2 linked regions of the Coturnix japonica genome follow. The protein of the gene in region 1 purifies or fractionates together with the protein of each later gene. This does not show direct contact. Links are inferred from orthologs where the notes say so. Each region holds a gene or a part of one and is shown on either strand. Other genes may lie near its edges.

Region 1 (4,561 bases):
CCTAGAGGTAATTGTGATCTGCCTGAGACCTGCAGCCTGCTGCTGTTCTCAAACACATTTTTCTACTCTGCGTTAGATGCTCTAAAAAGCTTCAACAATTATACTGTTACAGACTACTTGGCACTCACCCAGCCCAAAGGTGACTGCATTTCTAGCAGTAGAGGAAACTTCAGATAAAGAAAAACATACTCACTTCAGTGAAGGCCATAAAGTGAGTTTACATTTGTTGTAGTTTTAAGTGACTTAAGCCCTAGAAGTCTGAAATAAATGTGCATGTGTTTTAATAATGAAAGTGCTGTGATTATACTCTAGTTATGAAAAATTGAGGAAAAAAATCAGGAAAAAATTAAATGAAATGAACAAGTATGGTAGTGTAACAAGCCAAGGTAAACCAAGTTCCTTTCTTCCTAGGGTTTTTTACATTCCTGAGAGAAGGAATTAAGAGACTGAGTTCTCCGTTCTGCTGTATGCTTGCCATTTTACCTCAAATTGTTGCAACATAGGCTTGTGACACAAAAGCCTAAAAATTGCTTAAGTTAATAATAAGACAGGAAAGCATGTTGATTAGTTACCTTGCTCGGTTATAGCAGAGCAGGAATTAGATATAGACTACACTTTATTTGCCTTAGCAGTTTAATCTCACTGTCTGTTGCCATGCCTAACCTGTACAGAGATGAATGAAAAGCTTTCTGATGACCTGAAATACAGCTTCCACCCCCAATGCAGTAAATCTGCAAACTGGAGCTGTGTTTCATTAGATGTACTTTAAGGGTTCTTTATTTTTCTGCCCTCATGAGTTCAGTGGACATAGAATCCGATATCTCACTATCATTTCCTAGCTAGCTGTATAAATATAGTTAAACTGCATTTACTTGGGGTTGCTGTTTAGCTGCATTTTGTTTCGTAACATGCTCGGTTATTTCCAGTCCTCCTGACTTCAGTGGGAGCCTCAAGCTCTCACTTTTGCAAATCAGGCCTGCTTGTACCTTTGCTTTGGTCACTTCTGCTGTCTCTTTGGCACTCATCCTAGGAATCAAAGTGACCTCCTTGCCATCCCCTTATGCACTATGCAGAAGCAATGGAAAACCACTGCCACTTTTTCCTAGACTGGTATCTTTGACCATGATTCAGTGACATGCAGGGATATGGGAGGAGGATTCTTCATCTGTATCCCCTGGAGCTCTCATCACCCAGATGGCCCCATTTCCTCCCCTGCAGCCCATAGAGGTGTCTGCCTCCAGACCAGCCTTGTCTTGTCATGGTCTATGGAGATCAGAGCTAGGATGGAGCAGGGAGGAGAGGGACAGGCATGTCCTTGTGGATGCGGCAGCTGGGGCTGACAGTAACCACGTATGGCTTGGTGGGTTGATCTGCCATCCCCAGGCTTCACCACAGACCAGCCTCTCCATCCCCACCTCCTCCCCCCCACCCCCTTTTCAGCTGGGAATGAAACCAGCAGCAATTACTCAAGCCAAGCACGTAAATCTGGCAGATCCCATGGCCCTCATTTGACGCAGCTACGCAGTGCAATGTCTGGACGCCCAACCCACTTCCCTCATCCCCTCTTGTTTATTTGCCCTGCAGAAAACAGCAAAGTTACCAACTTTGCCAGCAGTGAGCTGTACCAAGTGGAGAAGGAAAGCGGGGTGCCAGGGAGCAGGAAGGACAGGGGAAGAGGAACGCCAGGGACAGGGATGCCAGGGTCAGGAGTGCGAGGTGGGTTTGCCTGCATTGCATGAGGAGCTGAGCTGCCCCGACTCAAGGCTGCAGAATGCCCGGGGCCGACCCTCTGTGGTTGCGGGGATGCCCTAGGGGCTGCCGCTGGTCCGGAGAGACCCCGCGGACCAGGTGTTACATAACTCCCGTTTCCCTTGCACCAATGCCCTTCCACCAACCGGCCGGGTGGGAGACAGGCTGAAGAGCCGCTTAATTTCAAGAACCGAAGCTTGTAATTATTATTGTTTATTATTATTATTATTATTATTTCTCCCACTTTGCGCTTCGACTTGCCGAGAAACCCCGCAAAGCCCCAGCTGTTTCAGCCTGAGGTCCCGTCCCGGAAGGAGCTAGCAGCTCAGCTATGGGCTCGCTTCCCTTGCGGCAGGGCAGAGGCTGCCCGGGGCTGGCTGCCCGGGGGGGGTGCGGAGCCGCAGGGCGCTGCAGCGAACCCGCCTCCGCCTGCAGCGCGGCTCCAAGCCCGGGGCGCCGTGGCGCTGTCCGCGGTGCTGAAGACGGACGCTGTCCGCTGTGCTGACGGACGCTGTCCGCGGTGCTGAACCGCCTCCCGTTCCCGCAGAGCCGCAGTACTCCCTGCTGACCTCCCCCCCGGCCTCCGTCCGCGGTGCCGAAGCGCCGCCGCAGCCCTGCGCGGTGCGGTGCGGTGCGGGAAGGGCGCTGCAGTGCCCTGGGCGGCTGCAGCCCTGCGCGACCCAGCAGAGCAGAGAGCCCCGCAGCACCCTGCTCCCAGTACAGGTTAGAAATGCGCTGCTTGCCCTTCTCCTCGGGCTCCCTGCCGCCTTCGATCGTGCCCGATACAGCGGAAACACAGAGCTCGGTTCCCTCCCATGGTTCCAGCCGGCGATAAGGCTGGCGGCGGCATTACCCCCCCTCTCCTCGACTTCCTCCATCCCTGTAGCAGCCCAGAGACAGGAGACAAAACGCCGAGCGCGTCCCCCTTTAAACAAATCCTTTTTTCGCTTCATTTTCGTTCATACAGCCCCCTCCCCTTGCTCAGTCGGTGGCCCGGTGGTCTCCCGCCCTTACCTCGGCTTGTGCAGCGCTCCGCCGGGCCGCCTCGGCGGGGTTGGTGTCTCGGTGCCGCAGCTGGGAGGCAAGGACAGCCGCTGCTGACCTCCTCGGGTCTCCTTCTTCAATGGACCGAGAGCCGTGCCCTCATCAAAGATGGCCGTCCGCTCCTACGTCAGCAGCTTTTAATAGCCCTCCCCGGAGGGGGGGGGGGAATGGGGGAGGCGGGAGCGGGCGGGGGGCAGAGCGGGCCGGGCGGGCGGGCTTGAGTCATCACCGCCGCCGCCGCCTCCCGCTCCGATCTCCTCGCCCCGCCGACAAACGGCCCCGCCGGGCCTCCTCCGAGCCTGGGGGCCGGGGGCTGAACCGCCCGGGGAGGGGGGAAGGGGCCTCCTGCAGCAACATGCCTCCGCCAAAGGGGTGGTCCGAAGAGGGTATCCCTCTGAAGTCCCCGGTACTCCATATATGGCCAATCTACGTGGGCTTCTATTTTTATGTGTGAATTCTTCCTTCTCTCCCTCTTTTTATGTTTCAGAGCATCCTGCCACGGGTCTGAGTGTGTTAATCTGATTATTCCCCTTCTCCTCCCCCCTGAAATAAGAGCACACAAACGCAAGGAAATCCACAGATAAGGACATGTGCTATAACCGATCATTTGAGAGACAGGTTTAGAAAAGGGAGAGAGAAGGGGGGAAAAAAAAAGCCCTCACAAAAAACCCAGGCATGTACGTGCATACATACAGCACAGAGAGAACAGACCGCTGCTGCCAAGGAGGAAAGCAGTGACTCTGTTCTGGGAAAAAGCCTGGCTTATTTATCATGGATTAATTAAAATATTTATTCAGAGCTTACCTAATTTGGAGCAAATGGAGCTGTCTGTAGTGTGATATTTAATGGAGAGGAAATCCTCTCATTTGTTACAAAACATCTTTCTGTAAAAGGTATCTCTTAACGGAGATTTTAATGAAGGATGGGGATTGCATCTGAAATGCGACACTCTTTCATAACCTCAGTTATCCCTTCCCTTTCATTCCACAAGCCTGCGCACGTTCGTGTATGGAACCATCCAGACCTACCCATGAGCAGAGGTGCCTCCGTCTGAGCCTCTCTTGTGAGCAGTCACTGAGCACTGGCTATGCTTAACTCTGACACTGTGCTAATGGCTTTTCTAAATAGTCTGCAGATGACGGTGTCAAAACATCAGTCTCATATTAGTGATAATTCTACCCTAATCATTATGTCTTTTTTTCCCTTATTGCCATGGCAGGGAAGACCGGAAGAGGGGGAAGGCTCTGCAGCTGTATTTTGGAGCACGTTTGTCTCATGTTGTGGTTGTATGGGGGTGGAGGAGAGAAAGGGGAGGGGAGGTGCGGGGGGGGGGAAGGAGAAAGAACTGCGGTGATTCCTCCTCCCCTGCTCTGTAGTTCCCCATAGAAAAACGTGATTGTAGATCGTGCTTTGCAATTCTCACCCTCTCCTACGAAAATATGTCCTTCAGTCTCGTTTGGAAGGAAGCAGTCAAAAGTTTGCTAAATATACAACAAAGGAATTCTCAGGGAAGAGGGGCTTCCTGCTGCAGTAGAGTATCTGATGAGCTGTGCACACAAAAACCGCAGGGAAGGAGAGAACCTGTCAGACTTAAGGGCTGTAAAGGCAGACAAGTAGAGAGAGATCAACGCTGTGCAGACAGCCCCCCTTCTAGGTGAGGGATCTGGATCAGCACCTTGAGCAGGACCTGGATTTAGCATCATAAATGACAGTATGGAAAGGCAAACCTTTTCTGCTCAACTCATATATGGGTTAACAGTAGCCAGCA
Region 2 (4,288 bases), on another chromosome or scaffold:
TGTCTCCTCGTGGCACCACCTTGTGGCACTTTCCACCCAGGGACCCAAGCTGGCCAAAGGGATGTTCCATACCATAGGACATCATACAGAAGGGCACATGATAAAGTGTGGGGTGTTTGTTTCTACCCCACAGCACTACAGGAGGTGGTCCAGCCCCTGGTGGTGGTGGCCATTAGGAGCCTTATCACAGCGGCAAATCCTTCCTGATGAACCACCTGGCCAGCCTCAACCAGGGCTCCCTGTCCATTTTGGGAACCTGTGGGGGGCATTCTGGTGCAATTCTGATGGCAACAGCCACAAAAATGCCTGGATCTTCATGCTGGCACTGCTGCTCTCCAGCACCTGGTGTAACAAAGCCTGGGCATCATTGACCAGCAGGGGCAGGAGAAGCTGCAGTATCCCATAGGGGGTTGAATGGAACTGGGGGAACAGTGGTGAAACCATGAGATTTGTGGCAAAGGGGGGTTGGGTCAAAGCTGGGGGATTTGGGATGAAACAGGGTTATGGGGTGACACGGGACTCGGGGCAAAGCTGGAGGATTCAGAGCAAGACGGGGATTTGAGCAATGCAGTACTTGAGGTGGAGCTGTGGGATTTAGGACTTGACTTGGGATGATACTGGGGGATATGGGATAAAGCTGAAGGATTGGAGCAATGTGAGACTTGGGGCGAAGCCGTGGGATTTGGGTAATGCAGTACATTACAATACAGTAAAGCTGTAGGATTTAGAGCAATGTGGGACTTGAGTTGAAGCTGTGGGATCTGAGGTGGAAGGAGGGATTTGAGGCAATGCTAGATTTGGGGTGAAGCTGTGGGATTTGAGTAAAAGGGGATTTGGGGAACCTTGTATTTAAAGGTAACGCAGACTTGATGGGGTGACGGGGAATTTAGGGTGAAAATTTGGGATTTGGGAGATGTTGAATTTGGGGGCAGGATGCAGAACTGTGGGTGAAAGTGTGGGACAGTGCGAGACTTCACCTCAGTACCAAATGGAGTCTCACCCTGAGGCAACCCCAGTGCCACTTTTGGGGGCAGATTTTACTTTGGTGTGTAGCAATCCCACTCTGGGGTGAGTTTATAATGACAGCAGGACAGGGCTGGGTCAGATTAGGCCCATGTTCTGGTTCATGCGGCCTCCATCCCTTTCTAAGGCGGGCTCCCGTCATCATGGCAACCAAAGGCCTCGACCGCGCATGCGCAGGCCTCGTCCCCTCGCTTTAGGGCGGGCGCTCGGTCAGCAGCGGTGGCGCATGCGCAGAGAGCGGCGGGGTGCTGGCAGCCGGGCCCGGAGGAGCCGTCACTCAGCCGGTCATGTCGTACGGGCCGCTGGATCCATATCGGGCCGGAGCGACGGCCCCGCCGAGGGATTTTAGTGGAATCATACAAACATGCAGCGCCAACGTGCAGCGCATCGCTCAGTACAGTGAGTAGCGGCGGGCAGGGCCGCGGTGGGAGCTGCTGAGGGCCCGGGGTGAGGCGGGGCTCCATTGCTGCCTGTGACAGCGGAGGGATGGCTGGGGAAACAGCATCTGTGCTGCTGAGAGGAGTGAATGTCATAAAGCTTTCTCTCCTCCTCTCTTTTTCGCTTCCTCCTTTAATTAGTTCAGCTCCTCTTAGGATGCTATGGCCGGGTCTCATGCCCAGCAGCCGCCCTTTCCCGGTGTGCTGCCAATTGGAGGTGAAACAAGTGTCTTACAGCTTCAGTCAGGGTGGGTGGGAGCACACAGAGCAGCTGACTTACCATTACAGTCATTAACTGTACTGTGTGTTTGATAAAGGGCCTGAGGAGAAGAGAAACTGAAGCCTTGAGCACTTCCTTATTTCTCTTTCCCTATAGGGGAAAATCAGCTGCCTTTAGAACAGTGTTAAGTGGTTCTTCTTGGTCTTGCCTTGCTGCTTGAGGGAGCAGGAGAATTGCTAGGAGCCCACCAGGTGGACTTTTGTCCTACACGATGCTCCCAGCATCTCTTACTGACGTTAAAGAGCGTGAAGCTGCAGAATACAGCGAGTCAGCTGGCTCATCTGTTCAGACATTCCCTTCTGAGGCTGGGAAGGGGTGGTTACCTTGCAGGTATATTAACAGTTTAATGGGGATGTTGAAATGCAGAGTCTAAGTGTTGTGTTATCAGCTTGAGTTAAGCAAAATGTTGAGAGAGGTCCTTCACTGGAGAAGCTTTCTAGCTTAAAGTAGGGATAAAATACACTAGAACTCATATTAATCTTGTGGTCTCTTTGTCTTCAGCTGCTCAGATAAAGAATTTGATGAGCCAGCTGGGAACCAAGCAGGACTCCAGCAAACTGCAGGAAAACTTGTAAGTATGAATTGGATAAACACTGTTTAGGCTCTTTTATTTTCACCTTTATTCTTAGAAGGAGGGAGTTACTTTGGAGAGATGCTTTACTGCATAAACTTAATATAAACTTAATTGTATGTGAATGGCTTCCTGTGTTGTGATGCTAATGGAAGTGTTGCTTCAGTAGATCCTTTGCACCAGCAGCTTTGAATCACAACCTTGTTGGAAAACATAAGAGCTGGAAGACTGGGGAAGGCCTTGCATTTCCCAGAGCTGAATCTGTATCATTCTTCTCTGTGAAGTTTCATGGATCTGCAGGAATTCAGTATCTGAGTTCTTAAAGATGTTTGAGCTCAGAAACCTTACTTGGTCTTTATTGCAAAGATTGAAATGCTTGGGTTGCTTTTTGGAAGAAACCTGTGTAACTATTTCTGAACTATTGTTTTAGACAACAGCTACAGCACTCTGCAAACAGCTTGGCCAAAGCGACCAATGAGTATCTCAAAGAACTGGGATCTCTACCACTTCCTCTGTCTGCTTCTGAACAGGTATGCAGGTAGAATTTTCTAGAGCTTTCTTTAGTTGCTTACTTGATAAGCTGGCTTAGAGTGCAATTTCACGGAGCTTAAACTGGCACAGCTGAAGATACAGCAGCTTTCTGCAATGAAAGCAGTTGTTGAAGTGGGAAGACGAACTCAGTCAGCTACATCCTGACTGTATGATGCTGAGGGGGAATCATTTATCAGCAGCAGATAGCTCTAAAACTTTGGGGAAAGCTGAGTATGTAGTTCTATTTCTGAGAAAATAATCTTGTTTACAGAGCAATCTGGTGATGCGAGACCATGTTTTAGGATAAAAACTCAGTGCAAGCTGAATGTCAGTATGAATTGTAATTACATCAAAAAAACTTTTCCTTCCACGGGATTTATGGCCTGAACTGAAGGTGGGGGAGGGAAGGAGCTGACTCAGGTTACTCACATTTAAAGAAACCTGCTGAGGTGACTTTGTCTCTGGCAAAACAGTCTTTCAGGGCATCCCTTCCTGTGGGGAAGGGAAGGGATGGGCCTCTGCCTTTGGAGTCTTCTGTCTCCACTTTAAATCACTGCCACAATACTGATTTACCTGCTCCTGTGATACTGTTATGGGATGATCTGTGGATATGGGTCAGCAGATGTTGTCTTAGTAGATCCAATTCTCTATCTAAAGGTTTAAATACCAGTTGTAAATACGGCAGTGTTTCGTGTATTTGTTCAGAAAGTGTTTTTCAGTTAATCTCACTCTGGTAAGCAAAGTCCATGTTGCTGAATGTGGCAGTGACTTCTGTAAGTGAGTGAAGCTGAAGAATTTCTGTAGTGGAAAATCAACTGTAAGAATCAGCTGTAGTACTGACTGTCCTTGGGTCAAGTCTTTTTCTCAGCTACTTGTTTCCCATGTACTGGATGTCACAACCTTCAAAGGGGACATGCCAGGGAAACATGCACAGGGCAGTTCCACAGTAGGTAGAGCATAGAGCATTTGGTATAACATGAAAGTGTGATGGGCTTTTTTTTCTCCTGTTTCTACCCCAGAATGCTGGGAAGATCACTTACATGTTAGCATTTACTTTTCATTTTATGTTTTGGAGAGTCTGATGGTTACAGTAACACGAATGGTAATATCTGAACGTTTGTTTTTGTTTCTTTAGCGTCAACAGAGGCTTCAGAAAGAACGTTTAATGAATGATTTCTCTGCAGCCTTAAATAATTTCCAGGCAGTACAGAGGCAAGTGTCAGAGAAGGAAAAAGAGACTGTAGCAAGGGCAAGAGCTGGCTCCCGTATCTCTGTAAGTATTTGTAGGCATTCTGTTGTGATATGGTGGACTACAAATCATTTTGGAGATCTTGTCTTTGCCCACTGGCTTCATGGTTGTCTACTGATGCATTACTGATCACAAATGAGGCCTCAGTAGGTTGTTTTGCTGTTCCAGATGTTGTAATTAGTAGGCACACATCTTGA

The links.
Region 2: the proteins of SNAP25 (region 1) and STX12 purify together in Homo sapiens (co-immunoprecipitation; 3 studies listed by BioGRID and IntAct, with this or other methods). This does not show direct contact. The link is inferred for Coturnix japonica from reciprocal best matches to the Homo sapiens genes SNAP25 and STX12.

What each region holds. Positions count from the first base shown.
Region 1 is NC_029518.1:11,889,220-11,893,780, forward strand, and holds the start of SNAP25 (synaptosomal-associated protein 25), read right to left. Parts: upstream 2,925-4,561; 5' UTR 2,764-2,924; intron 1-2,763.
Region 2 is NC_029538.1:1,331,284-1,335,571, forward strand, and holds the start of STX12 (syntaxin-12), read left to right. Parts: upstream 1-1,234; 5' UTR 1,235-1,310; coding exon 1,311-1,422; intron 1,423-2,241; coding exon 2,242-2,311; intron 2,312-2,741; coding exon 2,742-2,841; intron 2,842-3,977; coding exon 3,978-4,115; intron 4,116-4,288. UniProt on the Homo sapiens protein: SNARE promoting fusion of transport vesicles with target membranes. Together with SNARE STX6, promotes movement of vesicles from endosomes to the cell membrane, and may therefore function in the endocytic recycling pathway.